Macaca mulatta: one gene and its partners. The protein of the gene in region 2 interacts with the protein of the main gene of each other region in a pairwise test. Links are inferred from orthologs where the notes say so. Each region holds a gene or a part of one and is shown on either strand. Other genes may lie near its edges.

Region 1 (4,461 bases), on a different chromosome or scaffold from region 2:
GTGCCCAGGGCAGGGAGATTTGGAGCTGCCCCACAGCCCTGTGCCCTGTCATTTACACCTTCCCGTCTGCACCCCTCAGGAGATGGCTGGCTGCTCAAGGCCGTGAGCCTGGGGCCCTGGGTTCACCTGATTGAAGAGCTGCAGCTGTTTGACCAGGAGCCCATGGGAAGCCTGGTGCTGGCTCAGAGCAAGGTAGTGAGTTGGGCCCTATCTGCCACCGTCCCCAGCACTGTCCTTCTCGCTCTGTCTGTCTGGCTGCTTCTCCCAGTTGGGCCTACATGCTTGGCCAGTGCAGAGTTAGGAACACACACACGCATGGACGCACACCTTGCCTAACCTGGGGTGGGTTCCTGGAAACGAGAATGAAAACAGAATGGAATCTGCGCTGCACGGGGCCATTATATACAGCCAGGTCACGAGGCCGCACTCCCAGCATCAAGCCTTGGTAACTACTCCCATGTTTCCTTCAGACCCTCCAAGCTGTGCTGTGGTCCTGGCTCTGGCCTCTTCCCTGACCATGCCCCTGTGACCAGACCTCCCAGCCTGTGAGATGTTTATGACGCCTTCACCATGGTGGTTTCCTTCCAGCCCCCAGCTGCTCTCTGGTCCCCGCCCTCCATGTCCGTGACTGTTTCCCTGAAGTGCTTGCATTATATCCTTGTGCAATACTCCTTTTGGTTTCTTTTGAGTCGGAGTCTCACTCTGTCACCCAGGCTGAAGTGCAGTGATGCGATCTCAGTGCACTGCAACCTCCACCTCCCAGGTTGAAGCTATTCTCCTGCCTCAGCCTCCTGAGTAGCTGGGATTGATTACAGGTGCCTGCCACCACGCCCAGCTAAAGGTTTTTTTTTGTTGTTGTTGTTGAGATGGAGTCTCACTCTGTCGCCCAGGCTGGAGTGCAGTGGCGTGATCTCAGCTGATTGCAACCTCCACCTCCCAGGTTCAAGCAATTCTGCCTCAGCCTCCCAAGTAACTGGGACTACAGGCACATGCCACCATGCCCGGCTCATTTTTGTATCTTTAGTAGAGACAAGGTTTTACCATGTTGGCCAGACTGGTCTTGAACTCCTAACCTCAAGTTGGAGATTTGCCCACCTCAGCCTCCCAAAGTGCTTGGATTCCAGGCATGACCTGCTGTGCCCAGTTGCCTTGTGCAATACTCTTGTGGCATGTTTACTACACCTCCTGAACTTTGATTTGTTTGCCTTTTACCACCTATTGTGACTCAAAATTGTCCCCCAGAACATGGAATAATGGCAGAAAGAAAGTGTGTGGTTGAAGAAACCCACAGATTGGCATCCACTGTTGAAACAGGAAAACATCTTATGTTATGCTGCTGCTGTCGTGAGGGCTGATGGGCCTTGAGAGAAATGTATTTCCCGCACTAATGTGTGTGAGTGTGTATGATTATACTTTTTGGCCTCACAGCCCCACATCTCTTTCTAATAAGGTCACGTCTCTAAGGGGCTTAGGATTGCATCTGGCCTGCGTAAGCCCTTTGCGTTCTGCAGTTCTTAGAGTTCCCTTTTCAGCACTACAGCTCTGCCTCGTTCCCTTGTTCCTCCTTCTGGTGCCCCGTCCTGTGCCCCCTGCAGAAGTCCAAGCTGTCCCCGTGCTGCGTTCTGGTCCGGCCGCCCCTCCCACGGTGTGGCCCTGGCTGACCCCCCTTCTGCGCCCCGCTTCTCTCGCAGAAGCTGCTCTTTGCCGGCTCCCGCTCTCAGCTGGTGCAGCTGCCCCTGGCCGACTGCATGAAGTACCGCTCCTGTGCAGACTGTGTCCTCGCCCGGGACCCCTATTGTGCCTGGAGCGTCAACACCAGCCGCTGTGTGGCCGTGGGTGGCCACTCTGGGTGAGTTGGGCTCTACATAGACCAGGACCAGCAGGGACTCAGGGTGGTTGGAGCCAGGCTGCTGATGTACCCTCCATCCCCTACCAGATCTCTGCTGATCCAGCACGTGATGATCTCGGACACTTCAGGCATCTGCAACCTCCGAGGCAGTAAGAAAGGTGAGCTTTTTCATTCCCCTCGCATCGGGCTGAGCCCGGACCAGAGCTGGAGTTTCTGTTCTCCTCTTCCCTAGCCCCGCTTTCCTGTACTAACATGCACTCTCTTTTTCTCTGCCACTACAGTCAGGGCCACTCCCAAAAACATCACGGTGGTGGCGGGCACAGACCTGGTGCTGCCCTGCCACCTCTCCTCCAACTTGGCCCATGCCCGCTGGACCTTTGGGGGCCGGGACCTGCCTGCGGAACAGCCCGGCTCTTTCCTCTACGATGCCCGGCTCCAGGCCCTAGTTGTGATGGCCGCCCAGCCCCGCCACGCTGGGGCCTACCACTGCTTTTCAGAGGAGCAGGGGGCGCGGCTAGCTGCTGAAGGCTACCTTGTGGCTGTCGTGGCAGGCCCGTCGGTGACCTTGGAGGCCCGGGCCCCCCTGGAAAACCTGGGGCTGGTGTGGCTGGCGGTGGTGGCCCTGGGGGCCGTGTGCCTGGTGCTGCTGCTGCTGGTGCTGTCACTGCGCCGGCGGCTGCGGGAAGAGCTGGAGAAAGGGGCCAAGGCTACTGAGAGGACCCTGGTGTACCCCCTGGAGCTGCCCAAGGAGCCCACCAGTCCCCCCTTCCGGCCCTGTCCTGAACCAGATGAGAAACTTTGGGATCCTGTCGGTTACTACTATTCAGATGGCTCCCTTAAGATAGTACCTGGGCATGCCCGGTGCCAGCCCGGCGGGGGCCCCCCTTCACCACCTCCAGGCATCCCAGGCCAGCCTCTGCCTTCTCCAACTCGGCTTCACTTGGGGGGTGGGCGGAACTCAAATGCCAATGGTTACGTGCGCTTACAACTAGGAGGGGAGGACCGGGGAGGGCTCGGGCACCCCCTGCCTGAGCTTGCGGATGAACTGAGACGCAAACTGCAGCAACGCCAGCCACTGCCCGACTCCAACCCCGAGGAGTCATCAGTATGAGGGGAAACCCCCACCGCGTCGGCGGGAAGCGTGGGAGGTGTAGCTCCTACTTTTGCACAGGCACCAGCTACCTCAGGGACATGGCATGGGCACCTGCTCTGTCTGGGACGGATACTGCCCAGCACCCACCCGGCCATGAGGACCTGCTCTGCTCAGCACGGGCACTGCCACTTGGTGTGGCTCACCAGGGCACCAGCCTCGCAGGAGGCATCTTCCTCTCTGTGAATCACAGACACGCGGGACCCCAGCCGCCAAAACTTTTCAAGGCAGAAATGTCAAGATGGGTGTTTGTCCGTATTTGCACGTGTGTTTGTGTGTCTGTGTGTGTGTGTGCACGTGCGTGCGCGCTTGTGGTATAGCCTTCCTGTTTCTGTCAAGTCTTCCCTTGGCCTGGGTCCTCCTGGTGAGTCATTGGAGCTATGAAGGGGAAGGGGTCGTATCACTTTGCCTCTCCTACCCCCACTGTCCCGAATGTCGGGCAGCGATGTACATATGGGGGTGGGGTGGGCAGGGTGCTGTGCCCCTTCAGGGGGAGTGCAGGGCTCGGGGTGGGCCTAGTCCTGCTCCTAGGGCTGTGAATGTTTTCAGGGTGGGGGGAGGGAGATGGAGCCTCCTGTGTGTTTTGGGGGAAGGGTGGGTGGGGCCTCCCACTTGGCCCTGGGGTTCAGTGGTATTTTATATTTGCCTTCTTCCTGTACAGGGCTGGGAAAGGCTGTGTGAGGGGAGAGAGGGTGGGACTGCTGTGGATAATGGCATACTCTCTTCCAGCCCTAGGAGGGGGGCTCCCAACGGTGTAACTTATTGTGTCCCCGCGTATTTATTTGTTGTAAATATTTGAGTATTTTTATATTGACAAATAAAATGGAGAAAATGAAACGATTTCTGTGATGGGGCTAAGATGTTTGGGCTAAAGCCCTTCTGGGTACCGAGAGGGAAAGCTCTCTGGGTGGAGGGAGGCTGGACAGGACCTCCCCCACAGTCCCAGGGCGGCCACCACTTTTGTGGTCCCTGCCTGCCTGCCTGTGGGAGGGAACAGCCCAGCTCCAGTGTTTTCCCACAGTGGTGGCTGCGGCGCTGGGAACCAGACCATGGCCACAGCCCCTTGGGAGCCAGCTTTGGCTTCTGGCCAGAAGGAGAAGTCAGGGCACTGGGAGTCCAGGGGAGAAGTGGAGTTGGGGGGCGGGGGTGCCTTCCCAGAACTCAGGACGGTTAGTGGGAGTGAGGGGCCAAAGGAGTGGAAGGTTGTGGAGATGAGATCGTTGTTTGTGTGAGGATGGGGTTCTCAACCCGCTTAGGGGAGGAGAAATGACTTCCAGCCTTCTACCCACCACGAATGCTTAGGGTCTTCAGTGCCCCAACTGGGGGGGGGGAAGGAATTTACACCCAGTGTGCACCAGACCACTGTCCTGGAGAGGGACTGGCACAGAACCCAACCTGCATTCTGTTGCTCGTGCACCCTTTCTAAACCAGTCAGGCCGTGGAAGTGAGGTCTCCCCTGTAC
Region 2 (5,042 bases):
AGAGGGTAGATGTAATTGTGGCAAGTGACTTGCCAATAAAGTAGGTGCAGCTATAGAAGCTGGCATAGGTATATCCTTAATGGTGCTTTCTCCCTGGGCTTGTCTCTTGTTGTTTTTTTCCCTATATTCAGAGCTCTGAGAAGTGATAAACACCTCCAGCTTTCTTAACATCCTCCCCACACCATCTCACCATATCCATCTCCCAGCATCCATCTGCATTCAGCTAAGGGCGGGAAACTGACCTAGTGCCTGTGCTGCAGACCATTTCTGAGGTCTCCACCCATCCAAGGAGGCAGAGCCATCATTACTGTCCTCCATGCCTTCAGCAGCCCCCCTCACAGCTAAGGTACATACCACCCCTTCTGCCGCGCCCCCTTCCACTCCTGGCACCAAGGTCTTTTGCTGCTTATGTCTAAAGGGATCGCCTATATTTAACTGCCTCAGTGACCTAACCTCTTTCTTCTCATGTGCCAGATGTTAAGATGAAGGAGGAATACAACACATGCTCAAGCCTCAGCTGTTTAGTTGTTTTCACTGGGGCTCGCTTTTCTGGGACGGTATTTATTATCAGACTGGCAAGCCTAACTCCATAGGTTTACAGGAAGTAGGGATATTTTTATAAAACAATTGTGTCCTCCCCACATTTTGCTATGTTAATATTTGCCTCTAACAATTTGCAGCTGTTTCACTTTTTCCTCATTTGTCTCTAAGTTGAAGGCCTTGTTGGAGGGGACAGAGCACAGGAACAGCCTTGACAGTCTGTAATTATTGTACAAATATTTTAATAGCATATAAATAAGTATATTCCTTTTATTTTGAAACAAAAATGATCAGACACTGCCTTTTGTGTGTTTGCTGCCTGTGGCACCCTTTTTGAAAAAGACTGTTACATATTAAAATAGTGTACATACATATAAATATTACCTCTTTTGCTGTACAGTTGTGATAGAGACTGAAGATTTTATTTTTTGTGTGCTTTTTATAAGAAAAAATTAATACACTAAAGAATCTTGCTGATGTGATTGTAATGTACCTATGTAACTTATTTACTTTTGAATGTTCTTCTGTATCTTTAAACCTTTTATTAAATAAGGTTTTAAAAATTCAGAGTTGAATGCTATGTTCTCTCGGGATTTTCACCATCTGGGGTTGATGTAAGTGGGCCTTGTCTTGCTTGCAGGGAGATTACTCGACATTTTTGAGCCATAAGGATTCTCTTTTAGCAGCCTATTGTCGATGCCAGCCAGGAAAAGGAAAATAACACTAATGTTTGCCTGGCTAAAAGATGACTCAGTAGACACAGACAAACAGATGTTTACAAAAGTTTAGACAAGAAAAAGTCTAAACTCAGTATCTCACACAAAAAATGGCGCACTCCGGCTTCATTGGGATAAAATACGCAGGGTGCACAGTGTGGTCAGGGGTAACGGGAAGCCAGGGTTCTGAGGAGAGTATTTTCACGTGCAGGGTGGACTGGCTGGGCAACCCGAGTAGACAAGTCCACCATGAGGGATGCCATGACTTCCAATAGTATCATCTTAAATCCACTCCAGGATTGGGTTATTATTTTTAAAACACGGTGCTTAGCAGTATTTGTTTGCTGTTAAAATGGAAAATTATGAAAAAGGAAATGCGCCATCAGAGAAACAAATGCCCGAGCCCCTCGCTGGCACCATGGCAACCGCTCGACCCCCGCGGGCCGCCGGAGCAGGCGTGATTCGCGCCAGCTGGGGCGCCGTTGCCATGGCGACGCCCGAGCGGCTCCGCCACAGGGGCGGGACGGGGCGGGGCTGACGCCGCTCGCGGGCTGGCCCCATCCTCCACTGCAGCAGTAACGTCGCAGCGGGTTGCGGGTAGGACTCGACGCTGGGGCAGCCGCGCAGCGCCTGAGCCGCTGCAGGCCGCCGCGGCCGCCGCTGCCCACCCTTGCCTGTGCTGTTTCCAGCCTCGCTTCTCCGGCTTTCCTGCTCCTCTGCTGCCTTCGTTTCTGGTCCTCGGCCGTCCTCGCCGCCCGCCCAGAGGAGTCCCCGCGCCCGCCAAGAGGAGTCCCCACGCCCTCCAAGAAGCCGCTCTCCGCTGGCCCGCAGCCGCCGCGACTTCGGCACAGTCTCTCCCTCTGGCTAGTCTCCCAAACGGCCGCTCCTCGCCCGCGGGAAGACCAGGCTGCGACCGCGAACGCCCGATCCTCTCCAGGAGCCGCAGCGAGCGCCCGGCGGGCACGCCCCGCGACCACACCCCGGCTGCTTTCGACCCAGCGCGCCTGCCTTCGCCGCCCGCCCTCGCTCCTTGCCCGCTGCACGACGACGCGACAGCCCGGCTGCAAGCGGCAGACCCGACCGGACCCGGACCCAGACGCAAGATGGCGACGGCCGCGTGACTTCCTCAGCGTCCCCGAGCTCAGCTCCAAGTGTACCTACGGACTGACTGGGGGGGCAGAGAAGGGCGAGATCAGGACTCTGTGTCTTTGTTAGTCGTGAATGCATGAAGCCTACCTCCCTTGGGCCTACTTGGTGGGAGTGTCTGGTATTGTTCTAAGGCCAGGAGTACGGTGAGCCACAGTCTGTTGGTAGAATTGGCGTCTTGATAGTTGAGAAAATGGCGATGACACTGTTGGAAGACTGGTGCCGGGGGATGGATGTGAACTCCCAGAGAGCTCTGTTGGTCTGGGGCATCCCAGTGAACTGTGATGAGGCTGAAATCGAAGAGACCCTCCAGGCAGCGATGCCCCAGGTCCCCTACCGAATGCTTGGGAGAATGTTCTGGAGGGAAGAAAATGCGAAAGCAGCCTTATTAGAGCTCACTGGCGCTGTCGATTACGCCGCGATCCCCAGGGAGATGCCGGGCAAAGGAGGGGTCTGGAAAGTGTTGTTTAAGCCCCCAACTTCTGATGCTGAATTTTTAGAAAGATTGCACCTCTTCCTAGCTAGAGAGGGGTGGACCGTGCAAGATGTTGCCCGTGTCCTTGGGTTTCAGAACCCTACTCCGACCCCGGGCCCAGAGATGCCAGCAGAGATGCTAAACTATATTTTGGATAATGTTATTCAGCCTCTTGTTGAGTCCATATGGTACAAGAGGCTGACACTTTTCTCGGGGAGGGACATCCCAGGGCCTGGAGAGGAAACCTTTGATCCCTGGCTGGAGCACACTAATGAGGTCCTAGAGGAGTGGCAGGTGTCCGATGTAGAAAAGAGGCGGCGGTTGATGGAGAGCCTTAGAGGCCCTGCCGCTGATGTCATTCGCATCCTCAAGTCCAACAACCCCGCGATAACCACTGCCGAATGCCTGAAGGCGCTTGAGCAGGTGTTTGGGAGCGTTGAGAGCTCTAGGGATGCCCAGATCAAATTTCTGAACACTTATCAGAACCCGGGAGAAAAATTGTCTGCTTATGTCATTCGTCTGGAGCCTCTGCTACAGAAGGTGGTAGAGAAGGGGGCCATTGATAAAGATAACGTGAACCAGGCCCGCCTAGAGCAGGTCATTGCTGGGGCCAACCACAGCGGGGCCATCCGAAGGCAGCTGTGGCTTACCGGGGCTGGGGAAGGGCCGGCCCCAAACCTCTTTCAGTTGCTGGTGCAGATCCGTGAGGAGGAAGCCAAGGAGGAGGAGGAGGAGGCTGAGGCCACCCTTCTGCAGTTAGGCCTGGAAGGGCACTTCTGAGTGCCAGAAAAGACAGCTTTAGTGCAGACCTAGATCACAGCTAGTTTTCTTGTCCCTGTGGGGGTCTTACAGATGTGTCTCTGAGTAGTAAAGGCTTAGCCCTGTTCCGTTTTGTTGTTTTTTTGGAGGGGAAGGTTAGTCAGGCCTGAGTATTCATGTAACATTCTAAAATTGTGCAAGCGAGCACCGTGAGCTGCTACAATGCAAGTGGGTCTTGCTGGCTAAAGTGCCAGGTAAAGGGTTGGTTGGACACAGCGCTTAGTGCACGCTGTCATCATGGACATCATAATCAGTTGTGAAAAACACACGAACCTCTGACACTTCCTATTCCACACTGAATGTGAAATTGCATGTGCAGATGTTTACTACGGGGCCTGGCTCACAGGAAGTGTTCAGTAAAAGTATGAACTATTAGATTACTGATAGCGCAGATAGATTTTTCTTTACCATAAATAGTTCCAGATTTATATTGATGGAAGGAAATGTGCATTTATTAGCTATTACTCAACTTTACAATGCAAACATCATATTTCTCATCTTTAAACATGTCGATCAGTTTAATTGAAAAGTATTCTGAGACTGCAAAATGGGGTGTTAAAAAAATACTGCAATTACGGAGCTGTGTAAACCAGTTTCTCATTGCATAAGATACAGATGTAAATTGCATGGAGAGGTTGATATGCACCTGTACAGTAATTCACTTCCCCATTTCAGATCTTTGTCAGAGAATAGTTCTTGTTCATACTGAGTGTTCTAAATTTGAAGTTATATATACAAATTAAAATATTTTAAAAATTCTGTTGTCTTCTCATTTTTCTGGCATGTATAAACATTTTTAGCCTAAGTAAACTCTGTCCTTTTTTCTTATGAAGACTTTGTCATTAAACCATTTATTTTACTCTTAAGCTTTGTATGATACTATGTGAATTTAAATGGCAAGTCCTTTTTTTTCCTTCCCCTCTTGCTGTCATCTTAACATTTTTTTGGTTTATTTTTTAATTTTTTAAATTTTTTATTTTTATTAAGGGCAGAGAGGGTCTTGCTCTGTTGCCCAGGCTGGAGTGCAATGGAGCGATCTCAGCTCACTGCAACGTCTGCCTCCCCCGGATTCAAGTGATTCTCCTGCCTCAGCCTCCTGAGTAGCTGGGATTACAGGCATGTGCCACCACACCTAGCTAATTTTGTATTTTTTTAGTAGAGATGGGTTTCACCACGTTGGTCAGGTTGGTCTGGAACGCCTGACCTCAAGTGATCCACCTGCCTCGGCTTCCCAAAGTGCTGGGATTACAGGCATGAGCCATCTAGTTTTTTCTACTAAAAATACAAAAATTAGCCGGGTGTGGTGGTGGGTGCCTTTAATTCCGGCTACTTGGGAAGCTGAGGCA
Region 3 (5,218 bases), on a different chromosome or scaffold from region 2:
TGCACTGTTTTCAATTACTGGCTTCTCAGATCATTCAGGAAACCACTGAGAATCATTAACGGGTTACTGGAATGCACAGAGTGACTTCCCAAGGACAGTGCACTGGCTCTTTTCAGAAGAACCTGGAAAAGTGCATGCAGACCATTGCAGCTGAGTTGGCAATGGATGATTTGCTTCTCACAGTGTAATGTACAATAGCTGTAATTTAATTGTTAATAGAACATGATATGCAGTCTGTCTTCAGGCCTCTGTGTTTCCTGTGGTATTTTCTTCTAGGTTGGAGTGTCTTTGCATAATCACATCTTATTCTCTTTTAACAGTTATCAACTCTTGGCTAGATCCCCTTATATAATAAAGAGTATAGTTTATTCTCAGTAGTTTAGCCATCCTCATTATCAACAAATAGAACTAACTGTTGAGATGCTCATACTAATACGCAGAATAGCTTGTCCTTTGTTATTTAGAAATTGTTTACATTAAGTTTATATTCTCTTTTAATTTGTTAAAGATATAATTCTTTGACTGAGATAGGAATTTCTCATTTATTTCTTCTTATTTATTTATTTATTTATTTCAGAGATGAGATCTCACTGTGTTGCCCAGGATGATTTCAAACTCCTGGCCTCAACCAGTCCTATCTCAGCCTCCGCAAATGCTGGGATTACAGGTGTGAGCTACTACACTCAGCCATTTCTTGTAGTATTAGATCTATATAATAAAAGGATGTTTTTCTGTGATCCCTTAACATTTTCTACACTCATCTGCATGTTCAAAGCATATTTGTTTACTGTTGCCTAGTTTTCCATGTCAGTCATTCATTTATCCAATACATATTAATTATCAGTCACTATTCTCATTACTAAGGGTACTTGAGTGAACAGAGCAGACAAAATCCCCACCCTTAAGAAGCTTATATTATTTTCAAGTTGTTGCAACTTTAGGTGTTTTTTAAAAAATAAAAATTCCCAGCTGATAAAACTAACTTATTTGACAGCTACCTGCCTCACCAATATAACCAAGTTATAGCCAGAACTCAGAAATAACATTTTTGAGCCTCACCAATATAACCAAGTTATAGCCAGAATTCAGAAATAACATTTTTGAGCATTTATTTTGTGTCTGGTAATGTGCCAACCACTTTACATTTATTTTAGCTCATTTAATGCCTACAACAACTAGAAGGAGATACTATTAGGATCCCTATTTTACAGACGAAAAGAGTGAAGATCAGAGAGATTAGTTAAGCAGAGGGTACAAGATTAGGTTCCACTTGACTCTTAACAACCATTTCATATTCCAGGTGATGCTTTACAGACATCTGATGAATGGATGAATGAATGAAAGCATGGGAATTTTTTTGGGAATTCCCATTCAGCTTGGCATAAATACTAACTCGTTAGACTACCCTAGAAAAATCTAGACTTTTTGTGGGAAGAAAAGAGTGGGAAGGGTGGTAGGGAATTATTTTTTCGAGTGAGTTGAGGCAGATGATCTTACAGATGATTGGGTTCTACTCAGCATGGTTGCCTTATCTGGTGAGAGATGAGAATTGGGCAGACACCAGTTCTGTTTGCCCTGGGCCCTCAAACTGGGTAGCCTCTGAGATTCAAGTTCATCAGCAGAGTGTTGGAGGACAGTTCCTGCAGAGCCCCAGGAATCAGAGGAGACTTGGAGGCCGGAGGAACCGGCTATCCTAAAGGTGATTTTAAACCGGGGCAGCCAGAGCCCAAAGAAGGGCGAAACCAGGACTAACTGCCCCGTAGCATGAGAGGCAGAGCCTGTAAAATTACATAGGATTTGTAAAGGTGGAAGGCACTCTTGCGCGGGGCAAAGCTTCGCAAGGTCGTGGTAAGGGAAATGATTCACTCTTCTTCCCTATTCCCTCGCAGCATTGTCCCCACAAACCCCGTCCCTTTCCCCATTTCCATTTCCGGACTCTTCTCCTGCCCGCAGGGCATACGCACGCGCAAAGAGATTACCTACGGGCCGCCAGAGACCAGGAAGCATCGATCTGCTCTGCGCTCGGCTTGTAGACTTGTGGGCGCTCGATTGAGGAGCGTGGCAACGTTACTTCCGGTGCCTGGCTCCGTTTCCTGCTTTTGGTTCTTACGGGAGACTGCGTAGGCCTTAGGTGGGTTCGTGCACCTTTTACCTCGCTGTTTCGGTTTTCCTGGCTCCTCGGCCCTTCTCTCCCCTGTTGCAGCTGGGAGCGGACGAAGCGCGAAGCTGGGGTGGGGACGCGTTTGGCCCGGATTTGGATCTCGGAGTACCCGAGTAGGCTGGGGGCGAGGAAGAGATGGGAGACTGACTCAGGGGCCGGGCATCGCGTGGCAGCTCCCTCGGACTTCGTTAGGGGGCCTCGGGCGAAGGTGCTTGTGTCTGGAGAGGCGGGAGGCTTGCGCTTACGAAGTAAAGGATAATGTCCGTCTGCTTGTGCGAGGCGCTGACAGTTCACTGCGCTTTCAGGTGTCTTCCAGCGGTTTCCTTTTGGTAGTGGCGGGTAATTCAGGGTGCCCCTGTAACAGTCCAGCCCACGATCAAACCTCGCATGAAACCCCGCAAGAGCCTCCCCTTTGTCCCCCTACCTTCAGTTTGACCTCTGCCTCAGTCACTTCCCTTTCGTCGTCTCCTTTGTGACCCTTGCCGCTTCTCCAGATTTCGATTTAGGGGGTCCCAAGGCTTGGAGAAGCGTTATGTTTTACCTGTTACCTGCACAAGTGCAGCCCCTGCTTGTAGGCTCTTCCCTTGTCAATCATCCAATGCTATTCACGTACAGTGGATGCTCCGTAAATATTTGTGAGATAAAGAAATATGTGGGGCACACAAGGAAATCAAGCAGCTTCACAGTTTGCAAGTAAAAACCACGTTAAAAAAATGCAATAGTGTGGTGGACGAGGAAGAGAAGTGTAGAGGAGAAAGCAAGGGCTGAATTTCCAGGCTTGATGCTTATTAGCTGTGTGACCTTAGGCACGTTCCTTAACTGGTAATAGCTGTTAATAATAGCTACTTTAAGTGCTTACCGTTGATGCAAAACTGTGCTAGAACTCATTTAGTCTTCTGAGTTCGGTTGGGTAGGTTCTGTTACCATTCTCATTTTACTGATGAGGACCTGACAGATTAAGGAACTTCCCTCAGGCAAACAGCTAATAAGAAGCATAAATAGGATTTGAATTCACATATGGTTGGTACTAGAATCTGAGTTTAACGGTCATGCCACACTGTTGTCATTGAGCTCCCTTCTTTCAAGTCGGTTAGAGGTAACCTTGGAGTCCAGACAGCTTGGTGATACTGTATACAAATTAAGTAATAGGTATGGAAGGACTTTGTAAGTGCACCCAAGAAGTAGTTGGCAAACTCCATTAATGTCTAACCTTATGATTTTCACTGGATGTACATTTGCTACTTGGTCATTTTTCTTCAAATCTACATTTTAAATTATTGAGGAGGTGGAAAGAAAATATCACTTGTCATAAGTGAAAAGTAAGTGTGAAAATAAATGTGTTGAATTAAATGATGTTACTAAAATCTGGCTAGGTATTGGTGCTCCAAGTTTTGAGCATGAGAAACTCTTCTCCTTTTGTATGAAAAGGAGGGCTAGTAGGTGCTGGAGGTACACTAAAGGCTTCAGCCAAACTGACATCATCTAACAATTGGGATTGAAAGAGAAGTGAAAGGTTAATAATTCGTGTGTTGTGTCCTTATGCCACAGTCCAGTATAATTTACTCCTTCCTTTTTATAACAGATTTTTTACTGTCTCCTTCTGAAGAATTTAACACAAACATGGATATCAGACCAAATCATACAATTTATATCAACAATATGAATGACAAAATTAAAAAGGAAGGTAAGTGCTTTTAAAAATACTTGTTCACTACTAAAATGTGTTTATTTACTACTGTCTTAAAAATTGTATTGCCTCAAAACCTCTTACCTCGTCGTCTTAGTGCCTGAAATAATGGTTTATTCCATTACCTATAGGGATTTGAAGACTTTTAAAAAACAAAAATAGGTAGGAATTGACAGTGTGTACAGTCTGTTTCTACTCATAGATATAATGGTTTCATCTGACTTATAAAATTACATATAGCCAATGGGAATAGTATATGTTTTTATAAACATTAAATATATATAACTATAAATAAGTGAATGGTGGGGAGGCAACTCAATGCAGTATCATTTTATGAAGACTTTTGTCATTATCTTATTACCAATGACTTGTTTCTTTTCTAATTTGGACAGAATTGAAGAGATCCCTGTATGCCCTGTTTTCTCAATTCGGTCATGTGGTGGACATTGTGGCTTTAAAGACCATGAAGATGAGGGGGCAGGCCTTTGTCATATTTAAGGAACTGGGCTCATCCACGAATGCTTTGAGACAGTTACAAGGATTTCCATTTTATGGTAAACCAATGGTAAGCCAATTCTATTATTTCACTTTAATCAAGAAATTAATGATATTGATGGTACAGTAGATTTGTAAATATGCTTGAAACTGTGGCTGTTGCTTTCTGCTTTTAATTACGTGTGTTTGGGTTTATGTGTTTTTATAGAAAAACAATAGCAGTAGAGTTTAATTTATGACGGTTAAGATGGCTGAAAACAAAATACATTGAGATGTAGAATATTTAAAAAAATAATGGCAGTCTAGGCAATAGTCTTATCTCAAAAAGTTAGAAATTAATAATAACCTGGAAGACTTGAAAAGAAACCTGTTTGTAAACTTGTAAAACATTACAAAAGTCAGAAGCTAAAGGGGAAATTCAGTCTGAAGTTTTAGAAAATGCTATAGTGAAATACTATATGTCAGAAGCTACACAGTCTAGATGAAACAGTGATCTAAAGAAAAATGATAGGTTCAAACTCATAGGTTTTAGGAATAACAATGGAAATGAAATTGTTTGGAGAGTTTTAAACTCAGGAATGACATAATGAGATTCACATCTAGCTGCTGGATGAAGGTCGCATTGTGGGAGGGACAGAAAGGAAGTGGGAAACTCAGGAGGCCCTTGATGTAAATCAGAGATGTAGAGGATTAGATAAGGGTGACCACAGAGTGTGAAGCAAGGGATTCTCTATGTCTGAGGGAATATACCGTACCTTGGGTGTGGATTCCAAACTGCTTTTTTTCTGCGATTAGAATGTGATGTGAAGGAGTGTTGGACAAAAAACCAAAGGCCAGGGTTTAGAGGAGCTGGGTCTTCATTCTGGTTGTACTGT
Region 4 (4,461 bases), on a different chromosome or scaffold from region 2:
CAGGTGCCCCTTTTCCATTCCCTCCCTCATGCTAGTCTCTGGCCCACTCCAGGGAGCACTCACCCGCCTTTGGCCCAAACCGTGGGGACACAGTGTGTCCAGTGGTCACCTGTGTGCCTTCCTTCTCTTCACTCCCACCCTGGTTAAAGCCAGGTAAACCTTTCCAAGGAGGAGAACTTTCTTGCCTGTGTTCTGATCTCAGGCTTACTCCTGACCTTGCTAAACAGTTAGAAGAGTGGTTGCAGATGGCAAACCTCTAGCGAGCGTCATGAGCCTACCATGTCCGTGGGAGGAAGGTAGGAAGCCATTGGCACCAGCCTGTCACCTCAGGTTATGAAAAGACTCCTCTGCAGCCCTTCCGCTGCTCCCCGATCCCCGACATTACCGAAGTGCCAGAGGCAATGCAAGAGCAAGTGCTAGAGGAAAGTCTGTTCCTTTGTCCCGTTGAGAACATCTGTTTTCCTGGGTAGTGGAGACAAAATGCTGTATGGTGAGGAATCTGACACTGGGGTAGTGGGGACAAAGGTGTCACGTTTGGTGGTGGAGAGGCCTGGTTTGGCTAAAGCTGTGTCTGTTTTTCTGCATGCTTTTGTGTGGATTTATCAGATGACATTCCTGCTGTTTAAATGGCCTTTGTAACTCTGGAGGAATGAGAGGCACCGTCTGTGTCAGTTAACGCCAACTGAGGCAGGCAAGCAGGCAGGCAGCCAGCTACAAGCTTAGTCGTGTGTTGCTTTTATTTTGTTCTGCACTGAAGCACTGAAGTTCTCCTGCCTGTCTTGCTAATAATGACAAATAGTGAAGCTCCCAAGTAGTGTGATGGGCTACCCAGGACAGACTGATGAAGCTGAATGGATATGGCTAAATGGTTTGGGAAGACTTCTTTATGATATATAACAGATAAATATAATTTTAAATGGATTACCTTTTTTGGCATATTTCCTCACAGTGAGAGGAGTTGGCACTCCCCATAGTCCCTTAAAGATACATCCCATTTTCTCTATTAAGAGATTTTCAGTATTTTTAATGAGTGTATCAATACCTCCTAGTCAAACACAGGTGACTCCTGGGAATAACTTGCTTTTCAAAAAGAAGGGCAAGGGACTGTGGCCATTTCTGAATCTGAGAATCAATACAATTTCTAGATTGCTTTCTTTCTAGATTTCTTTTCCTTTCTTTCTTTCTTTCTTTCTTTCTTTCTTTCTTTCTTTCTTTCTTTCTTTCTTTCTTTCCTTTTTCTTTCTTTCTCTTTCTTTTTTCTGTCTTTCTCTTTTTCTTTCTCTCTCTCTCTCTCTCTCTCTTTTCTTTCTCTCTCTCTCATTCTGTCTTTCTTTTTTTTTTTTTTTTGAGATGGAGTTTCACTCTTGTTGCCCAGGCTGAAGTGCAATGGCATGATCTCGGCACACTGCAACCTCTGCCTCCCGGGTTCAAGTGATTCTCCTGCCTCAGCTTTCCGAGTAGCTGGGATTACAGGTGCACACCACCACAATTGGCTAATTTTTGTATTTTTAGTAGAGATGGGGGTTTTACCATGTTGGCCAGGCTGGTCCTGAACTCCTGACCTCAGGTGATCCACCTGCCTTGGCCTCCCAAAGTGCTAAGACTTTGAGCCACCATGCCCTGCAATTTATTTTCCTTTTTTTCCCCCCTTTTATTTATTTATTTTTAAGACAGAGTCTTGCTCTGTATTTACCCCTTTTTTTGTTCTGTCGTCTTAAATGTTTTCTTAGGCTGGGCAAGATGGCTTAATCCTGTAATCCCAGCACTCTGGGAGGCCGAGTGGGGCAGCTCGCTTGAGTCCAGGCGTTTGAGACCAGCCTGGGCAACATGTGAAACTCTGTCTCTATAAAAAATATAAAAATTAGCCAGGCATGGTGGCACACACCTGTGGTTCCAGCTACTTGGAGGCTGAGGTGGATGGATTGCCTGAGCCTGGGAGGTCAAGGCTGCAGTGAGCCATGATTGCGCCACTGCACTGCAGCCTGGGTGACAGAGCAAGACCTCAAAAACCTATTTTCTCATTAGGCCTTTCATAGCCCTTAGTCTGCTTAAAATAACTCAGCAGCCAATATATCAGAATCACCCACGGGAAGGTCTTGCCCTGGTGGAAAGTCAGCCTTCATGACGTTATACTCCTGGTAGTCTAGTCAGCCACTATCTGCACTCCCTGATCATCTTCTAAGGTTTGTTTGTAAATATGTGGTCCACAACCAAGAATTTAGGATGTCCAAATATGGCAAGTTTTTGCCCTCTTTGCTATCTAATAACATGAGTAATAATCTTTGCTCTCCAACACTTTTTATTTGTCCCAACCATCGTCCTAATATTGTAACTGTAATGCAGCAAATTAGTTGCCTGAGTTAAAAAAAAAAAAAAATCAACCCTTGGCCCTTAGACGGCTTTTAATACAATCAAATGATGACCTCAACTGGCTCTGGCCGAAGCCATGTGTGTTGTTTACCAGCTTTAAACACCTACTTGCGCGCCTCTTGCCAACCTTCCTCCAGTGTTAAAGTGTCATCTGCAAGGACTGTTGTCTGATTGTTTCTGAGGGTCGTAGGCTTTTGGTGGGATCTTAATTCCATTCTCTTTGATGTCTTTAGCTGTGAAAATTAAGAAGCCAATCAAGACAAAGTTCCGAATGCCAGTGTTTAACTGGGTTGCTCTGAAGCCCAATCAGATCAATGGCACAGTCTTCAATGAAATTGATGATGAGCGAATTCTGGAGGTATTTTTCTCATTGGTTAGAAACTAGAGGTGCACTCTGTGCAGCAAAGCCAACATGGGTGTTTTGTTAACCTGGAAGTGTCAGAGATAAAGTACTAGTGTTATAAGTCCCTTGATGTAAAGAAGAAACAGATATGTAATATCGGAGAAAAACATTTGACACTATTTTGTAAGGTGGCTCTAAAACTGTGTTTAAAGAGTTATGTTAAATTGGAATAAATGCTTTTGAGCATTTTCAGTGTATGCCACAGAATATAGATCTGACATAATAATTCCTTCCCTTAATTGAGAGAAAGACATAAAAACTTTCAGACTGTAAGTGAATAAGAACTCAATTACCACACTCACTGCCTTATTTGATAGATAATTTTAATCTGTGGCAGCTGTCTATGCAAGCTAATTATTGAAAAGCAATTGAATTGGTGGGTTAGAATCGGTAGTCTAATGTTCACTTTTTTATTTTTATTTTATTTTATTTTTTAATTATTATTATTATTATTATTTGAGACGGAGTCTCGCTCTGTCACCCAGGCTGTAGTGCAGTGGTGCAATCTCGGCTCACTGCAACCTCTGCCTCCCAGGTTCAAGCAGTTCTCTGATTAGCCTCACAAGTAGCTGAGATTACAGGCATACACTACCACGCCTGGCTATTCTTCGTATTTTTAGTAGAGAGCGGCTTTTACCATGTTGGCCAGGCTGGTCTCAAACTCCTGACCTTAAGTGATCCACCCTTGGCCTCCCAAAGTGCTAGGATTACAGGCATGAGCCGCCACACCCAGCCTATGTTCACTTTTGTGTATGTGCCAGAATTTGTACTCTAACAAAAACAAGAAAAATAGAGCAAGCCATGGCCAAAGACAAGTACTTAATAGAAAAAGTAATGTCTTTGCTTAAGAAACTAACTGGTGGCTTCCAGACTTCATTTTTAAATATAATCCAATTTTCCATGGTCATTCCTCTCTACCTTAGGATTTAAATGTGGATGAATTTGAGGAAATATTCAAGACAAAAGCCCAAGGTCCTGCCATTGATCTTTCTTCAAGCAAACAGAAGATACCACAGAAGGGATCAAACAAAGTGACATTACTAGAAGCAAACAGGGCCAAAAATCTTGCCATAACTTTAAGGAAAGCTGGAAAGACTGCTGATGAAATATGTAAAGCTATTCATGTGTAAGTTCAGGAAAATTATATTCTAGTTAGTTTATAATAAAATGAAAATGAGAAAGTTATGAATTAGTAGATGACAAATATTTCAATAGTGAGGCAAGAGCTAAGATAAAAGCTGGAGCAATTTTTGATATCCATACTTCAGAGATCTCCTGAACTCTGTGTGTGCTACTTCAAAGTTGCATATGATGCCAACACGAAAGAGGTGGACCAGAAATCACCCTGGGGAGTGTTGTGTTAGAACGAGTAACTAATTGTTTTAGAAGAATAACATCTGGATTGTGACATCATTTATTATCTCTTATGCGGGCCTCCAGCAATGCTTACATAAAAGGAAAGTTGAGCTGAGTGTGGCAGATGTTAAGAAAAGGTAGAAGATGTCAGTTTTCTCTGGAGTATCTGAATTTTATCCAGATTTGTTGAATACAAATTTGATGGCATTTGTGGAATGATACAGTTCAATGCCAGACGCAAATATGATACAGATGCATATTTTAATTCATAACAACAGGAATGAATTGTTTTGCTTTTAGTACTTTCAGGACATTTTAAACAAAGTTCATTT
Region 5 (4,461 bases), on a different chromosome or scaffold from region 2:
CAACTGAAGGTCTGACTGAGTTTCAAGGTGATTCTTAAAGGGAATTGTAATTATAGCTTTGGGGTTTCAGTGGAGTGAAAGCAGTAATTTGTCTTACCGGCAAAATGAGTAAATCTATAGAAGTTAATGTATTTATGTATAAACAACCAAAGCACTTTGCTCTTCATTTTATATGTTCTTTTATTGACCTTTATATTTCTTTAAAAATTTTTAATTGTGATAAAATATACAAAACATAAAATTTACTGTCTTAAGCTCCCCCCCCCCCCAGCTTTTTTTTTTGACAGAGTCTTGCTCTGTCACCAGGTTGGAGTGCAGTGCACAATCTCAGCTTACTGCAACCTCCGCCTCCCGAGTTCAAGCAATTCTCCTGCCGCAGCCTTCCAAGTAGCTGGGACTACAGGCGTGCCCCACCACGCCCAGCTAACTTTTTGTATTTTTAGTAGAGATGAGATTTCACTGTGTTGGCCAGGATGGACTCGATCTCTTGACCTCATGATCCACTCGCCTTGGCCTCCCAAAGTGCCGGGATTGCAGGTGTGAGCCACCACGGCCAGCCTGTCTTAAGCCCTTTTAAGTATACAGTTCAGTAGTGTTAAGTACATTCTCATTCCAGAGGGAAAGTAGGTAGAAGGTGATTGATTCATTGCTCATACCATTTTTCAGTAGGTATATCTTAAATGTATATAGTTTATCATGAAATTACATTAGACTAATAACTTTTCTGATTATGAAAACAATACACGCTCATCACAGAAAATACAGAAGAGGAAAAGAACAAATGAAAATTACCTAAAATCTTGCCATTCAGAAAATGCCCCTCTTTAAAATTTTGTGTAACTCTTTTCAGTCTTTTCACATGTAATTCTTAAATAAAATTTGGATCAGATTCTATTTTTAAATAACACCTTTATTCAGATGTAGTTCACACATCATACAATTCACCTAAAGTGTGTAATTCAGCGTTTTTTAGTATACTCAGTTGTATAACCCATAACCACAAATAAATCAACTTTTAGAAGATTTATTTGTGCCACCACTCCCCAAGAAAATCCCTGAACTTTATCAGCTGCTCCTCCTTCTTCACCCTGCTGCCCTTCTGCCCCACCCTACCTAGTCAACAACTAATCTATTTTCTGTCTCTATAGATTTGCCTGTTTTGGACATTTCATGTAAATAAAATCATGCAATATGTGGTGTTTTCTGTCTGGCTTCTTCCGCTTAGCATAATGTTTTCAAAGTTCATCCATGTTGTAACCTGTATCAATACTTCATTCCTTTTCATGGCAGAATAATATTCTGTTGTGTGGATAAATCACATTTTATTTATCCATTCATCAGTTGATGGACATTTCGATTATTTCCCATTTTTGGCTATTGTGAATAATGCTGTTATGAACATTTGTGTACAAGTTTTTGCGTGGACATATGTTTCCATTTCTCTTGGATCTGCTGGGTCATGATAACTGGTTTATTTATTTATTTTATTTTTTTAGACGGAGTCTTGCTGTGTCGCCCAGGCTGGAGTACAGTGGCATGATCTTGGCTCACTGCAAACTCCGCCTCCCAGGTTCATGCCATTCTCCTGCTTCAACCTCCCAAGTAGCTGGGACTACAGGTGCCTGCCACCACTCCCAGCTAATTTTTTGTATTTTTAGTAGAGACAGGGTTTCACCATGTTAGCCAGGATGTTCTCAATCTCCTGACCTCGTGATCTGCCCACCTTAGCCTCCCAAAGTGCTGGGATTACAGGCGTGAGCCACCACGCCCAGCCCATATGATAACTGTTTAATCTTTTATATAGTTTTACATCTTGATTGTTTTTCACCTAACTTTATGACCATTTTTCCATGTCATTAAATATCTAAATACATGATTTTTAAATGGTTATATTATTGTATCTAAGGAGTGTGCCATATTTTTAACCATTCTCCATTTAACCATTTGAGGTCCTTCCAATTTCTCCTTAGAAAAAAATTCTTACATATGCAGTCTCCACATCTCTCATTTCCTTAAAGTAAATTTATGGAAGTTGAATTACTAAAAGGTCATTATGTTTTATGTCACTTGTCAGATGGTGTCTGGGAAGATTGCATGAATTCTCTCTCTAAACACTTCAGTGTTCTTAGCCTGTGCATGTTCAGTGGTGATTATTTAACATCAAGTGCTATAAAACAGAGCCCATGGATTTTTGAAAAGACACAGTCCCTGCCATCAAGATGCTTATGTTCACATCTAGACCAGACAGATAAATATAGATCCAAGGGTATTATATAGACAAGATTATGTACATTATGTGGAGAGGAAAAGGTAGACTGCTTAGATAAAGTAAACGTTTGCCTGCCTAGGATGAGATTCACACAGACATAATCATTGAGCAACTTTTTACGCTTAAAAGTTTTTAAAAAATTAACAAAACCAAAATGTAGGAACCAGTTAGTCTAAAGTCATAAATCATCTGGATCATTGAGTCTGAACCTTTCCCTTGTTCAGGAGACTTCTGAGGCAGCACAGTGTAGCCTGTTGGCTTTTGGGACCCGCAGACGTAGCTCTAGCTGCTTTTCAACCTGTGCTGTCTCATGGTTTCTTTAGATTGCTTGAGACATTAGCAAACCCTTTCTGTCTTGTTTCTTACTCTTTTATATTCAGAAGAGTACCACTTTAAAGATTATGAAATGAGCAAGTAGTTCAATTATATAGCTGACTCTGGGGAAAAATTGTCTAGCACTGTTCAGCATTGCCATATTGATGCTGACACTGGCATGATTTCATCTCCAGCATGACCACCGGATTCCACCCAAATGGATTGACTACTCTAGAAAGATCATTGATTTGTAAAATTGGAGATGGAAAAGCTATAGCAGATCCCCTGGCGAGCCTCTTAAGCAGATGTTATGTAGAGGCTCTGCAATACTGTTTGTTTATTTTTCACTAGTAGGAATTAAACTCTTGAGAGTAAACCATACCACCTTAAAGACTCCGTTTTCTAGTATGTCACATACATTTGTATTACATGACTCCTTCAGAAAACATTGCCTAGGTTACTGACAGAAACTGCTATTTTCGTATCCAGAAGCTGCGACTAGCAAAGGCAAACTTAAGAAAACTGAAACCCCTTTTTTCTTTGCAGCTGTAAAGATGTCTGACAAGAACCAGATAGCTGCCAGAGCCTCCCTTATTGAGCAACTGTTGTCCAAAAGGAATTTTGAGGATCTTGGCAACCACCTTACTGAGCTAGAAACAATTTATGTGACTAAGGAACATCTCCAGGAGACAGATGTGGTGAGAGCTGTATACAGAGTCCTCAAAAACTGCCCCTCTGTGGCTTTGAAAAACAAAGCCAAGTGCTTGCTATCAAAGTGGAAAGCTGTTTATAAAGAGACTCACTCCAAAGCGAGGAACAGCCCTAAATTATTTCCTGTGAGGGGTAATGAAGAAAATTCAGGACCTTCTCATGACCCAAGTCAGGATGAGACACTGGGCATCTGCAGCTCAAATTCTCTATCTTCCCAAGATGTTGCAAAACTCAGTGAAATGATTGTGCCTGAAAATAAAGCCATTCAATTGAAACCTAAGAAAGAGCATTTTGGGGATGGTGGCCCTGAATCCACTGGTAAGAGATTGAGTGAGTTGCTGGATCCCATAACACCCATGAGAACTAAATGCATAGAGCTTCTTTACGCAGCTTTAACTAGTTCTTCTGCAGATCAACCCAAAGCTGATTTGTGGCAAAACTTTGCAAGAGAAATTGAAGAGCATGTTTTTACCCTTTATTCAAAGAATATAAAAAAATATAAAACTTGCATCAGAAGCAAAGTTGCCAATTTGAAGAACCCCAAAAATTCTCACTTACAACAAAACTTGCTCTCTGGTACCATGTCTCCACGAGAATTTGCTGAAATGACTGTCATGGAGATGGCAAACAAGGAACTGAAGCAGTTGAGAGCCTCCTACACAGAATCTTGTATCCAGGAACATTACCTTCCCCAAGTAATTGATGGCACACAGACAAATAAAATAAAATGCAGACGCTGTGAGAAATACAATTGCAAAGTCACTGTAATTGACAGAGGAACACTTTTCCTTCCCAGCTGGGTGCGGAATTCAAACCCAGATGAACAAATGATGACTTATGTAATTTGTAACGAATGTGGGGAGCAGTGGTACCACAGCAAGTGGGTGTGCTTTTAACTGTAAATGAGTGTTCTCTTAACAAATAACCTGAGTGATTGATACCTTTTATTTGTACAACCCTTCTGTGCTTTTAAAAATCTTGTACACACTACTCTCTAAAACAGAAGAAGGAGGAAAGAAAGTCGTTCCTGAAGCTGACACCACCATCCCTAAAAGTTACAGTTTGGGGAGAGGGAGTGGATGACTATTTGTATTGTGCCTTGTGGCCATTTAATACCTTACTGTAGACAGAGTGTGGGTGAGAACAGCCCAGCATAAACTGGGAGC
Region 6 (5,118 bases), on a different chromosome or scaffold from region 2:
AGGGAGACCAGCCTTGAGGGGAGACCAGCCTGGCAGGGGAGACCAGCCTGTGGTGGGGACCAGCCTGGTGGAGGAGACCAGCCTGCGGGGAGACCAGCCTTGGGGTGAGACCAGCCTCGGGGGGGAGACCAGCCTGGAGGGGAGACCAGCCTTGGGGTGAGACCAGCCTCGGGGGGGAGACCAGCCTTGGGGTGAGACCACCCTCGGGGGGGAGACCAGCCTGTGGGGCAGACCAGCCTGGGGAGGAGACCAGCCTGGGGAGGAGACCAGCCTGGGGAGGAGACCAGCCTGGGGAGGAGACCAGTCTTGGGGGGAGACCAGCCTGGGGGGAGACCAGCCTGGGGGGAGACCAGTCTTGTGGGGAGGAGACCGGCCTGGAGGGGGAGACTGGCCTGGGGAGGAGACCGGCCTGGCAGGGAGACCACCCTGGGGAGGAGACCAGCCTGGGGCAGCCCCACCATGGGCCCCACGATTGGCCCCACATGCTGAGGGGCGCTGGGTGGCCCTGAGGGCTGGGCTGGAGGCCACCTGCTGACCTCACTCCCCAATGAGAAGGGTCCAGCAGTGCCTGTCCACCCCTCGGACCACGAGCGCCCATGTCTGAGACACCAATTGTTCCTGACTGCACTGCTCCTGCCTGCACCTAACTGAGGACGGCCCCAACCCATGGCCACGGCCTCTCGGGCCGTCACGCAGGGCTGTGGCTCACAGGGTCCTGCTAGAGTAGGCGCTGTCCTCGGTCAGTGTGACCAGCTTGAAACCCACCCTGACTCCCCGCTTCTCCAATTACTTGGGGAAGTAAATCACCTCAGTGTTGTTTCTTGGCTCCGAGAGTCTTGTTTTATCAGCAGCCGGGATGTAACAGAAGGGTCATCTCATCCTCGTGGGAAGGGACGTAGTCCAGAAAACACAACCCACTGGGCCGGCCACACCTCCAGCCCTGTGACGGGCACCCACCACCACCAACCCAGTGGGCCGGCCACACCTCCAGCCCTGTGACGGGCACCCACCACCACCAACCCACTGGGCCGGCCACACCTCCAGCCCTGTGACGGGCACCCACCACCACCAACCCAGTGGGCCGGCCACACCTCCAGCCCTGTGACGGGCACCCACCACCAACCCAGTGGGCTGGCCACACCTCCAGCCCTGTGATGGGCACTCAGGACCACCAACAACCCAGTGGGCCAACCACACCTCCAGCCCTGTGACGGGCACTCAGGACCACCAAGGGCACTCACGTGCAGACGTCCCCAAGGAGACCACCACCTTCATTCAGCCCGGGCGGCCACATTAGGGCAACGTTGCTTCCAGGAGAGAGTCTCGAGTCAGGCTTTGTGGAGAATGGAGGTTGCCATACCCCAAGCGTTCCTGACACAACCCAACCCGTCTGGCTGCACCACAGGGCTCACACCTCAGATCAAGACAACGGGGGCCCAGACACAGCCCACTGACGAGGGCATGCCCCTGCATGTCCAGGATGCAGGGCAGAGAGAGAAGTCAGGGGTGAGTCACAGATGCGCCCCCCACTCTGAGCCCGACGGGGCCCTGAATGGCTTTTCCTGCCCTGGCTCCTCCCATCATATTTTAAATGCCATCTTCTTCCCGCTCCAAGGAAGCCTTCTCCTGACATCACGTACTCTCCAGCCACGGACCTATCAACACTCTGACAGTTTTCTGATCTTGACACATTATCCTTTTAATATAGCACTGGATTCAATTTATTAATATCTTAAGTATTTTTATGCTCACAGGGGAAATCAATCTGAATCTCCCTTTCTTGTGATGTCTTGGTCTGGCTTTGGAACACTGGCCTTTTAAAATCAGCTGCAGGGGTTCCATGCCATTTTCTGGGTGTTCCTCCTTTTTTTTTTTTTTTTTTTTTTTTTTGAGACAGAGTCTCGCTCTGTCGCCCGGGCTGGAGTGCAGTGGCCGGATCTCAGCTCACTGCAAGCTCCGCCTCCCAGGTTTACGCCATTCTCCTGCCTCAGCCTCCCGAGTAGCTGGGACTACAGGTGCCGCCACCTCGCCTGGCTAGTATTTTTTTTTTTTTTTTTGTATTTTTTAGTAGAGACGGGGTTTCATCATGTTAGCCAGGATGGTCTCGATCTCCTGACCTCGTGATCCGCCCGTCTCGGCCTCCCAAAGTGCTGGGATTACAGGCTTGAGCCAACGCACCCGGCCGGGTGTTCATTCTTAAACGTCAGAATTCACCTGTGAAGCTACCTAGAACTAGATTTCTTCTGGGAAGGTTTTAAATTTCTAAATCAATTTATTAAAAGACACAACGCTACTGACAGTTTCTATTTTTCCCTCATGTGCGTTTTGCGGACAATTGTGGCTGTCAGGTAGTTTGTCCGTTTCCTGTGGTTGTGGAGCCCGGGCATCAAGCTTTACACCCCACAAATTCTAATGTCATGTTTTTATTCTCCTTCAACTTGAAATATTCTCTGGTTTCCTTTGTGCTTTTGTCTTTTTCAAGACTGTTTTTAGAGGAGTTTTAGGTTCTCAGCAACATTGAGAGGAAGGTACAGAGATTTCCCCACTCTCTGCCCCAACAAATGCACAGCCTCCCCTATTATCAACGTCCTGCACCAAAGTGGTACCTTTTTGAGACAAGGTCTCGCTCTGCTGCCCAGGCTGAAGGGCAAGTGGCATGATCACGGCTCACTGCAGCCTCAAATTCCTGGGCTCAAGAGATCCTCCTGCCTCAGCCTCCCAAGCAGCTGGGCCTACAAGTGCGCACACCCACACTCAGAATTTGTCACGGCTGATGAACCTACATGGACACATCACCACCACCCAAAGCCCACAGTTTACAGTGGGGCTCACTCTCGAGGCTGCACATTCTCTGGCTTTGGACAAATGTATGATGACCTTATCCACCGCTGGTGTCAGGCCGGAGCAGTTTCATTGCCCTAAAAATCCTCTGTTCACCCCTCCCCCGGCCCTGACCTCCAGCAACCGCTGACTTTTTACTGTTTCCACAGTTTTACCTTCGAGAGTGTGATCTAGTTGGAATCACAGTATGCAGCCTTTTCAAACTGCCTTTTCCACTTACTAATATGCACTTAAGGGTCCTCCGTGTCTCTTCATGGCTTGATAGCTCATTTCCTCTTAGTGCTGAGTAATATTCCACGGTCTGGCTGCACCGAAGTCTACTCACTCATTCACGTACGGAAGCACATTTTGGTTGCTTTCACATTTGGGTAGCTATGAATAAACAGCTATCAGCCTCTGTGTGCAGGTGCTTGTGTGGACTCCTTTGGGTAAACACCAAGCAGTGCAATTGCTGGATAGATAGCGAGAGTATGTTTAGTTTTGTCAGAAACCACCAAGCTGTCTTCCACAGCGGCTGTGCCTATTCAAGTTATCAAAAGAGAAGGAAAAAAAAGAAATTAAAAAAAATAATAATAAACAGTGGCTTCACCATTTTGCATTCCCGCCAACGGTGAGTTCCTGTTACTCCACGTCCTCACCAGCACTTGGTGGTGGCAGTGTTCTGGATTGTGGCCACTCCAATAGGTATATTGGTCGTTTTAATTTGCATTCCCCTGATGACATATGATGTGGAACATCTGTTCATATGCTTATTTAACAACTGGGTATCTTCTTTGGTATGGCGTCTGTTAAGGTCTCTGGCCCATTTTTTCACCAGGTTGTTTTATTGTTGGGTTTGAAGAGCTCTTTTGGATACTGATCCTTTGTGTTTTTCAAATATATTCTCTCAGTCTCTGACTTGTCTTTTCATTTTCTTGACATTCTTTGCAGAACAGAAACTTTAATTAATTATGTATTTTATTGAGACAGGGTCTCACTCTGTCACGTAAGTTAGAGTACAGCGGCGTAATCACAGTTCACTGCAGCCTCAACCTCCCAGGCTCAAGCAATCCTCCCACCTCAGTGTTCCAAGCAGCTGGGACAACAGGCATGCACCACCACACCTGCCTCATCTTTTGATTGTTTTGTACAGATGGGGTTTCACTATGGTACCCAGGCTGGTCTCCAACTCCTGGGTCCAAGTGACCCTCCCACCTTGGCCCCTCAAAGTGCTGGAATTACAGGCGCGAGCCAAAAATGTATCATGTTAGTGAAGCCCAACCTATCGATGTTTTCTTTAGTGGATCATGCCTTTGGTGTCATATCTAGAGTCACTGCCAAACCCAAGGTCACTTAGATTTCCTCCTACGTGATGTTCTAGGGGTTTTATAGTTTTATGTTTTACATTTAGGTCTCTGATTCATCTTGAGTGTGTCTAGATGTGAAGGGTATGTCAAGGTTCATTTTTTTTTTTTTTTACAAATGAAGTTTGGTTGTTTCAGCATCATTTGTTGAAGACTGTCCTTTCTCCATCGAACTGCCTTTGCTCCTTTGCCACTGACTTTCAATTTAGTTTGACTCCACTGTGGTGGGGAAGGATGCTCTGTATGACTTCCATCCTTGCTGACATCCTGACACTCAGCTCCTGAGCCAGCTATGGTCTACCTTAGCACATGGGCCCCAAGCTCTTGAAAAGCTGTGTGCTTCACCACTGTTAGGTGAGGTATCCTCCAAAGACCACTCGCTTGTGTTGGTTGATGTTCAAATCTCTATCCTTATAGATCTCATGTTTATCAGTTGCTAAGACAAGTACGAAAAGCTCCCATTAAAATTGTGTTTTCATCTCATTCTCTTCAATTCTGCCATTTCGCTTCATGTATTTTGAAGCTGTTACTTAGTGCATATACATTTAGGGTTGTTATGTCTTGATAAATTGATCTTATCATTATTGTCTCTTTACTTATTTCTGGTACCATTCCTTGTCCTACGGTCTATGTTGATATTAAAAACATCAAGAGTCTGAAACTTTACATCATAGCAAACAAAGAAAACCTAATATGACGCCAGGGAAAAGATTTCAGAATGTTCAAAATCTATTCCTGATAAAAATCATCTGAATTCAAAAATTTTTTGTGAGTTACTCAGGATAGTGAACTTGATTTTTAATCACACTGAGGCAAATATCCCCCTCAGACAGAGGCTGCACAGGTGCAGCTGCCATCTCCTCTTGGTGGTCTCCTTTGTCAAGAGCACGTCAGGGTGATGAGCCATCGGGGACAGTCACCCTCACAGCACCCA

Evidence for each region.
Region 1: the proteins of PNMA1 (region 2) and SEMA4C interact in binary tests that used the Homo sapiens proteins (3 or more experiments, as listed by UniProt). The two-hybrid records come from large-scale screens. The link is inferred for Macaca mulatta from reciprocal best matches to the Homo sapiens genes PNMA1 and SEMA4C.
Region 3: the proteins of PNMA1 (region 2) and SNRPB2 interact in binary tests that used the Homo sapiens proteins (3 or more experiments, as listed by UniProt). The two-hybrid records come from large-scale screens. The link is inferred for Macaca mulatta from reciprocal best matches to the Homo sapiens genes PNMA1 and SNRPB2.
Region 4: the proteins of PNMA1 (region 2) and FMNL2 interact in a two-hybrid assay, tested with the Homo sapiens proteins (2 studies listed by BioGRID). The two-hybrid records come from large-scale screens. The link is inferred for Macaca mulatta from reciprocal best matches to the Homo sapiens genes PNMA1 and FMNL2.
Region 5: the proteins of PNMA1 (region 2) and TCEANC interact in binary tests that used the Homo sapiens proteins (3 or more experiments, as listed by UniProt). The two-hybrid records come from large-scale screens. The link is inferred for Macaca mulatta from reciprocal best matches to the Homo sapiens genes PNMA1 and TCEANC.
Region 6: the proteins of PNMA1 (region 2) and SPATC1L interact in binary tests that used the Homo sapiens proteins (3 or more experiments, as listed by UniProt). The two-hybrid records come from large-scale screens. The link is inferred for Macaca mulatta from reciprocal best matches to the Homo sapiens genes PNMA1 and SPATC1L.

The regions. Positions count from the first base shown.
Region 1 is NC_133418.1:5,528,146-5,532,606, reverse strand, and holds the end of SEMA4C (semaphorin-4C precursor), read left to right. Parts: intron 1-79; coding exon 80-192; intron 193-1,691; coding exon 1,692-1,849; intron 1,850-1,936; coding exon 1,937-2,007; intron 2,008-2,130; coding exon 2,131-2,960; 3' UTR 2,961-3,502; downstream 3,503-4,461.
Region 2 is NC_133412.1:146,883,193-146,888,234, reverse strand, and holds PNMA1 (paraneoplastic antigen Ma1), read left to right. Parts: upstream 1-1,792; 5' UTR 1,793-2,595; coding exon 2,596-3,657; 3' UTR 3,658-4,463; downstream 4,464-5,042.
Region 3 is NC_133415.1:67,266,007-67,271,224, reverse strand, and holds the start of SNRPB2 (U2 small nuclear ribonucleoprotein B''), read left to right. Parts: upstream 1-2,034; 5' UTR 2,035-2,131; exon of another isoform or gene 2,132-2,466; intron 2,467-3,743; 5' UTR 3,744-3,781; coding exon 3,782-3,845; intron 3,846-4,240; coding exon 4,241-4,413; intron 4,414-5,218. UniProt on the Homo sapiens protein: Involved in pre-mRNA splicing as component of the spliceosome. Associated with sn-RNP U2, where it contributes to the binding of stem loop IV of U2 snRNA.
Region 4 is NC_133417.1:57,534,586-57,539,046, forward strand, and holds part of FMNL2 (formin-like protein 2), read left to right. Parts: intron 1-2,603; coding exon 2,604-2,728; intron 2,729-3,696; coding exon 3,697-3,899; intron 3,900-4,461. UniProt on the Homo sapiens protein: Plays a role in the regulation of cell morphology and cytoskeletal organization. Required in the cortical actin filament dynamics.
Region 5 is NC_133426.1:13,307,137-13,311,597, forward strand, and holds part of TCEANC (transcription elongation factor A N-terminal and central domain-containing protein), read left to right. Parts: intron 1-1,496; coding exon 1,497-1,570; intron 1,571-3,130; coding exon 3,131-4,191; 3' UTR 4,192-4,461.
Region 6 is NC_133408.1:1,395,071-1,400,188, reverse strand, and holds the start of SPATC1L (speriolin-like protein), read right to left. Parts: upstream 3,274-5,118; 5' UTR 3,062-3,273; intron 2,733-3,061; 5' UTR 2,607-2,732; intron 1,308-2,606; 5' UTR 1,242-1,307; intron 941-1,241; 5' UTR 808-940; intron 1-807.